Neurospora crassa OR74A: one gene and its partner. The protein of the gene in region 1 interacts with the protein of each later gene in a pairwise test. Links are inferred from orthologs where the notes say so. Each region holds a gene or a part of one and is shown on either strand. Other genes may lie near its edges.

Region 1 (3,577 bases):
ACGAGAGCGACGCCGAGTTCCAGACCAGCGATGCCGTCAAGATCGAGATCCCCAAGACCGTCGACTGCCTTCAGGGTATCTTGAACGTCATTCCTCTGCAGTTGATCGCCTATTGGTTGGCCGTTATGGAGGGCCTCAATGTCGACTTCCCCCGAAACCTTGCCAAGTCGGTGACTGTGGAGTAAGGGATAAATGAACGGGGTTGTCGAGCGATCAACTTGTGCATGAAGAGACGTACGAGACAAGGAAGACAGGTCTTCTGTTGATGTGCGGATTTTTGATATACCTATTTGTAATATACATCGTGCTTTGGTCTAGGTGGGCGTGGTGGAGTATTCTTGCTGGCTGGGAAGCACATCAACATCTGACCTGAAAGGAAAGGAAGAAGGAAAAGGCGAAAAGCCAAGGTGCGTCGGAGAGGTTGAAAGTCAAATGCAAATCAAGGGAGTCGGTGGGATGGAACAAATGGATTCCGGGATATTGTGCTCATGGCTTGAAGCGTTACTTGTTACTTGATCTATTCGTCACATTCAGGGACGATGTGATGGACTGTGATTAAGGAGTTTAGCTAGTAACAGTAATGATATTACTATCTTGCTAATGTACTTGCGAAAGGAGTTGAATCCGTTTCTGCTCATGAAGACACGCGTGTTGCACAGTTTAAGGGAAGAAAGTTGACCGTAGTGGGAGCCGGATAGACAAGCCAATGCCATGTTGTGATAGCGTGTCAATTCCCATACTCCGGAATAGCAAACGGACACGATGTCTTCGGCGTATGACCCTCTATTCGTTTGAGTTCATGATGTTCCCCTAGGTCTCATTATCCTACCCTCATTCTACACGGTGCTATCTATAGACCACCTCAAACAGTCTGAGTACCATATCCCTTGATCCGCTCAGCAAAAGCCCAGCTCTGCTTCTCCAGCTGCTCATCCTCCTTCAGCTCGACGCCATCCTTCGTCACAACCGCAATGCTGTACCGATCCAAGCTCCTCGCGTCGCGATAATACAGCACCTTCATGCACTCCTTGATAACCTCAACGGCTTGCTCGCGCGTCAACTTGGCCGCATCCTCCTCCGTCTCCGCATACCGACGCATGATGGGCTGCGCCAGCGCGCTTCCGAAACCCGTCGCCAGGGATGGAGAAGTGAAAGAAGTGCCGCGCAGGTCAACGCTGGCCAGGTAGGGCTTGGAGTGGCCGTCGAAACCGGCGATCAGAAGCTGGTTCCAAAGCGGGTCGAAATCGTTGCGCCGCTTGTAGAGGAGTTTTTGCAGATACTTGTGCAGGTTGGCGGCGTTGAGGTGACCCTTGCCGTTGGGAGCAGCAGTGCACGAGGGGTCCTCGTACGCTTCATCGATGGAGAGGTCCGTCAGGTGCCGGTCGAGGAATTGCATGTCGGATACGTCGCCGGAAAAGCCGACGACGGAGGAGTCGAGGAAGACGCGGAGGCGCTTGACGTCGGGGAAGCGGGCTAGGGAGCCATAGGAGGCTGTTTTCCAGAACAAGTCAGCACGGGGTGATATGGGATGGGTGTCATTTGATTTTTTTTCGGAGCATACCAAGGTTATCCGCGGCCATAACTACACCGTCCTTGTACTTCATTGCAATGACGGAGGTACCCGTCACGATGGGTGCTTGTGTCGCCTGCTTCGGGCCGCTGTTCTGGAGGTAGGAATGGTCATAGGCGCCGTAGACATCGTCTCTGGGCTGCAGGTGCCGTGAAGCAGTATGTTAGTTCCATGCCATTCATGTTCGGTCGAGATATGTATAAGCGCTGCTGCGACAGCGGGCGGAGGGGGTTGAGGACGTACACGACCCCAAGCTTGCGGGCGGTGATCCATGGTCAACTAGAGTTGGGAATCGAGAATGATCTGAATGCGGGGTATCGTTTCGTAAACAAGAGACGTCGACGAAATAGTAGAAGTCGGTCGCTGTTCGTGAATGTATAGCGCTCGCTGAGAAAGTGTTATCGTTGGTTGTTGAATATGGACAAGATAGGTATCGATAGAATGGTTCGTTTCGTTTGGGATGATGGTGTTGACGTGGGGAGCTTCCGCCTGGTTGGCTTGACGTTACGGCTGGAGGAGCTGGCAGTGGCAGGCTGCGCCATCCAGTAAGCTCCATCCCCTGCCCCCGCCTGCAGCTTCGCGTCCAGGTGCTGCCTTCACTCCCGCTGTCCACTGTTGGGCTTGGCTTGGCGTCACTGCCTCCAGTCCGCTTCCATGCAAACAGTGGAGTCTTGGCTCAGAGGGTAGTGTACAGTAGTGTAGAGGTAGGCGTGGGTCCGAGCGTCTTGAATGTTTTGAACTTGGGTCCAGGCTTGGCCTTGAGCCTCCTATCAGCACGTGACACCCTTCATCTCGAACCTAATGACCACTCTCTGTACTCATCAAAAACGGCGCCCTTTTGATTCCTAGGGCTTCTTACATCCATTGATCTGGATTTTCCATGTTAACATTAAATCAAGCACAATAATGGGGCTTGTAGCGTACGACAGCAGTGACGAGGATGAGGATGTCCAAGTTGACACCCCAACTGTGGTAAGAATATGGATAGCTCTTAGCATACAAATCATGTGTTGTTCACCAGCTGACAAGGTTTCATAGCCACATAACACCAAGAACGACATATCTTCACATGCATCACGAAGCAATGCCGGTACGGCCCCTCATGCTCAAGTCAATTTTCGCGTTATAAGCCCGACAACTAAATGAGATGTCCCTTTGCCAGTCGCGGACCCATCCACAGTAACGAGATCATCACCAACGAGTACAAACGGTCACAACGAGATATCAGCGCCACAGCAACGACAACGACAACCAGCCCCCTCGCCATCAACACCCGTAGGCCCTGTACTCGGGCCAGCTCTCGGCCCCTCAATGCCCCCTCCTACGGGAGTCGCCTCATCCAACACCCTCCTCCCCGAGCCCGACTCCGACATCGACATGTCTTTCCTCAACGACCCTTCCACTTCCTCCACCGCCTTAGCATCTGGACCTTCAGCAGAACCCCCCAAATCCCCTTACACCACAACCCGCACCTTGCTTCGGGACCTCACCCTCCCCGCCCTGCCAAACATGGACATCCCGGCCTCCCCTCCCCTTTCACCTTCTGATATCTCTTCGGTGGAACGGTTGTCCGCTTTAACCAGCAAATTCGACAAGTTCCTGGAACTGAAGCGCAACAAAGGACAGCATTTCAACTCGCGCATCGCGCAGAGCGCTGCTACAAAGAATCCGGGATTGATGGATAAGTTGATGAGGTTCGTGGGGGTTGAGACGGAGGTTTGGTTTGATGATGATGATGATGATGATCACAACGATGGTCACGACGGGAACCTCAAGCCCCTTGAGAGGGACGTCTCCTTGAAGGATGGCAATGGCACAGAAGTAGTAGCAACGCCCGCGCCGGCTGGGGCAGAGCAATACGCCACCACCTTGTCCAAGGAGGTTTGGGATCCGACTGCGATGCCGGGGTGGGCGTACAGAGATCGGCTGCGTAAGACGCAGGAGAGGATGCAGAAGGAGAGCGAGAGGAAGAAAGGGGAGAGAGTGGAGTTTGTTAGTGGAGGATCC
Region 2 (3,794 bases), about 1.9 Mb from region 1:
CGAACAGCACAAATCGCCGTACGGCTGGCACCTCTCGCCGCCTCTGTACGCCTCTAGGAAGATGGAGTACAACTTCACCGGACTCGGATCCCAAGCGCAGCGGATTGCCGAATCTCTGGACATTTCTTCTTCGTATGAGAATCACACGGAACACATCCTCTCGCTGGAGAACTCTCCCAAGTCCGGGTCCGACTTGGCGCCCTCACCCGACTCTTCCACCACTATTCTCTCCCCCGCCCTCAAAGAGGAAGACCACCAGATTGAGCAGCGCCGCTACCTAGCTCGCGCGACGATGCAGCTAGCCTTTGAGCACCTCGCCTCGCGCATTGTCATGGTGCTCCAGCAGCAGGCCAAGACGTCGTGCGAGCAGCAAAAGGTCAAGACGCTCGTGGTATCGGGTGGCGTGGCGAGCAACCAGTTTCTGAGGCACGTTCTCCGTCGCGTGTTGGAGGTGCGTGGATTCGGACACATTCGGATTATGGCTCCGCCTGTAAACCTGTGTACGGACAACGCGGCCATGATTGCGTGGACGGGGTCGGAGATGTACAGGGCGGGTTGGGTGAGCAAATTGGATATGTTGCCAATTAAGAAGTGGAGCATGAGTTCGACCGGCGAGCAGGGCGGGATCCTGGGAACGGAAGAGAAACCTTTTTATGTGAGGCGTTGAGCCGCGGCCGTACGGGCAGGATTAACTGGGAGTATCGCGACTGCTAGGTTGAGAAAGAACACATGATGTGTGCATGGGTGATGGGTGTTTGGGGCGCTAGTGTACTTTGCCATCTCTTGTGTATTAACAGTTCATCTGTATGAAAGCAGCAGTCAGAAGCGTAAAATGTATTATTATTATTATTGATATGGATACAGCTCGGTGGAAAGGGGCTATCAAGCGTGCTTTCTAGACTTGGGACGTCAGGGCTTTGATTGCTTCTGATCGATCACCCTTCTTGTACAATGTTTTCACATACGTATAAAGTAGGCATACGGCCTGGTCGAGCTGATTCATTCCAATGTCGCATTGGCTGTAAGAATCTAGAATGCTATGGGGACCCATTCGTTGCTCATATCGTTTCTTCATCATGTGTATGTAGTATGCTGCTGGCCAAGTGCCCCTGCCTCACTGACATCCGTCCATTCAGTCCAGGGCAGTCAAGCCACAATCACTACTTTCTGTCCCTCTTTCAGTCCTCTTCCTCTTTTAAACGCGGGTCGAATCATCCTCATTGAAGTCGCTGGTGACGTTGCTAAACTCGCCCTTCTCCAGCTTGGTCCTCCAGAAGATGGGGTTTGTGTCGTTGAAGCCGTGCTTCTCCCATCCCGACTCCTTGACGTGGTACAAGTTGATGAAGCCACCAGAGTAAGCATCACGATGTGTAGCGGCCAAAATGCTCCTGCTGCCCAGTTCGAGCGCCTCCTCCACCGTCAGGTCGTATCTATACTCGGCATCCAGGACGCCATAGGCAAAAGTCTGACCAGACCCAACGCAGAACAGGTTACCCGCCAGCCGGGTGCCGTCCGAATCGATGTAGTAAAGCGCAGGTCCTTCCTCCTTGGTGACGCCGGCGCACATGGTGCCCATGGACAGGCCCATGCCCTTGTACTGGTACACCAGGTTGGCCAGGATCTTGGAGGCCGCCGCGACGCTGATGCGGCGCTTGTGCCGCAATTCGTGAAGTCGGCACTGCATGCCCAGCCACGCCAGCCAGTACTGGCAGTCGGCGGCGCCGCCCGCCATGGTGCCCAACAAGTCGCTGTTGATCTCGATCACCTTCTTGACTGTTTGCGAGGCGATCCAGTTGCCGGCGGTTGCGCGAGAGTCCGTCGCCACAATGATACCGCCCTGGAACCGGAAGGCGAGTGTGGTCGTGCCGTGGGCGATCTTGATGGGGCACGAAGGGTTGGCGCGGTCGTCGGTTGCGGCGCGGAGCCAGGAGGAGGGCTGTTGTGGGTAAACAAGTTAGCCTATTGTCATATCATCATCATCATCATCATCGTTACTGTTGTCGTCGTCGTTGTGGCTCGTTCATCGACGGGGTCTAGCTAGCTAGCTAGCTAGGATGGGGCAAGCAGGGAGAGAGATGAGGTCGGAGGGGTACTGAGGGAGATGTACTGAGGAGGGGGAGATCAGGCAGACAAGGAAAGACGAACATGAGCTACTGGAGGCATGGCAAACTTGAGAGACAGAGGAGGCTGGGTTTCGCAAAGATCTTGCTGTTCCTCTTCCGAGAAGAGCTCATTCTGCTGGTAAGCCGGACGGCTGTACCTTGCGACAAGCGCATCCATGATGGTCGACTAAGTTGTTTGAAGGGACGAGGATTCGATGTTCGGTATGCGGTTCGGCAGTTCCCAAAGACGGTTCGGGAAGCTATAGATTGTTGCGAGGGGGAGAGACGTTCGGCGGGAGGACGACGGAAGTTGGACAACTGGTTGAGATGATGGTGGTGACGATGTTGAGGTTCGAATGGGCTGTCAGTGGAGGCGTTCGTTCACTGTTGTTAGCCTGGCAAGGTAGCAGCTATGGCGGCGTCAGCGGCAGTGGGTAGCAAGTGAAAGGCGGGCAGTTTGGAGCTCCCTACACGCAGGTGCCCACCAACCAGGCAGCTCCCACGCACGCGTTCACCAGCTTCCAGGTTGGGCGGCGCCGCCAGCTGGCAGCATATCAGGGAGGTATCTTTGTACTTTCTTGGCGGCATCGAATGTCGTTTTGGATGGTATGGTATCGATGTACCTCTAATATCAGCATTTCATAATGAACTACTAGCGAGCCAGGTTACACACCGATGGGACTGCAGTTCGGAATATGCTAGGTTCTGACTGAGCATCTTTGTTAACCACTATGCACAGGATGTACAGTGGCGTTTTCAATTACTATGAGCCACATGTATAACCCTCACTTTCGACCAAGTACCGGTCATAAGAATGCCTCCACCATTTTTTTGCGCCGCCGTGACATGGATAGGAGTATGAATGTTAACATGAGCTGATTTGTAAGATAGGACCAGACACACTCTTTTTTTTTCCTTTTGGTTTCTCCGTCCAACGCCATGGAAATGCATCCGGCGCTCGAACGCCACCCTCAAGTCCTGAGAGCTGAATTCCTAACCATATCGACTTCACTTTTCCGCCTGAGGGCAAGGCGTACTATCCAAGGGTCAAAGAGCAAATGCCGTTGTTCTCCCCTCTGCAGATTTTTGTCTTCCCCCAACACCAGAGCAAAGCCAAGTAAGAATTCCAAAAGCCTGCGGTATAAGCCTCCTCAACCCGTTACCGGAAACCCGAAACCAAGCCGAACCAAGCCTATACGTCAGACATGAAGCAAGACACAACTTGAAAAATGGTATTGATTGTTTGACGATCGATGTGACGAAGACCTAGTGCACCCCTCCCTGCGCCAGGCTCTCCCCCTGCCAACCCTGAACCGGGTGGTTTTGAAAAACAAAATGGTAGGAAGGAGGAATAAAAGAAAAAAGAAAAAAAAAAAAAAAAACCCAAGTACCATTAATGTAACCCTATAACACCATGGCAATGCATGCTTTCGCGTTGTCGTGATCAATGCAACCGGAAGGCCCCTCAAAGACCTTCCGGGGTATATCTGCGGTTGTTGCCGCTTCGAGATAATAATGTAGGCAGGTCGTCGTGGTGGTCGTTGTTGCGGATCCACTTTTGCGTGCCATGCTCTGGCATCAGATGCGATGTTTGGATAGTAGCCCATCGAGCGGAATTATTTTGTGTGATTGTTCTTCAAATTGAAAAAACTTCAGCCGAGTCGAAATCGTTGTGTGTTCAAGTTATTCGCC

Evidence for each region.
Region 2: the proteins of pcb-7 (region 1) and pcb-5 interact in binary tests that used the Saccharomyces cerevisiae proteins (3 or more experiments, as listed by UniProt). The link is inferred for Neurospora crassa OR74A from reciprocal best matches to the Saccharomyces cerevisiae genes PRE4 and PRE2.

Annotation. Positions count from the first base shown.
Region 1 is NC_026501.1:6,208,351-6,211,927, forward strand, and holds pcb-7 (20S proteasome subunit), read right to left. Parts: upstream 2,075-3,577; 5' UTR 1,844-2,074; coding exon 1,814-1,843; intron 1,710-1,813; coding exon 1,562-1,709; intron 1,492-1,561; coding exon 863-1,491; 3' UTR 566-862; downstream 1-565. Other genes in the region: gfa1 (glucosamine-fructose-6-phosphate aminotransferase), read left to right, coding at 1-185; NCU07364 (hypothetical protein), read left to right, coding at 2,477-2,542, 2,609-2,660, 2,733-3,577. UniProt on the Saccharomyces cerevisiae protein: Non-catalytic component of the proteasome which degrades poly-ubiquitinated proteins in the cytoplasm and in the nucleus. It is essential for the regulated turnover of proteins and for the removal of misfolded proteins.
Region 2 is NC_026501.1:4,303,361-4,307,154, reverse strand, and holds pcb-5 (proteasome component PRE2), read right to left. Parts: upstream 2,524-3,794; 5' UTR 2,281-2,523; coding exon 2,146-2,280; intron 1,937-2,145; coding exon 1,196-1,936; 3' UTR 820-1,195; downstream 1-819. Other genes in the region: NCU09308 (glycoprotease), read left to right, coding at 1-667.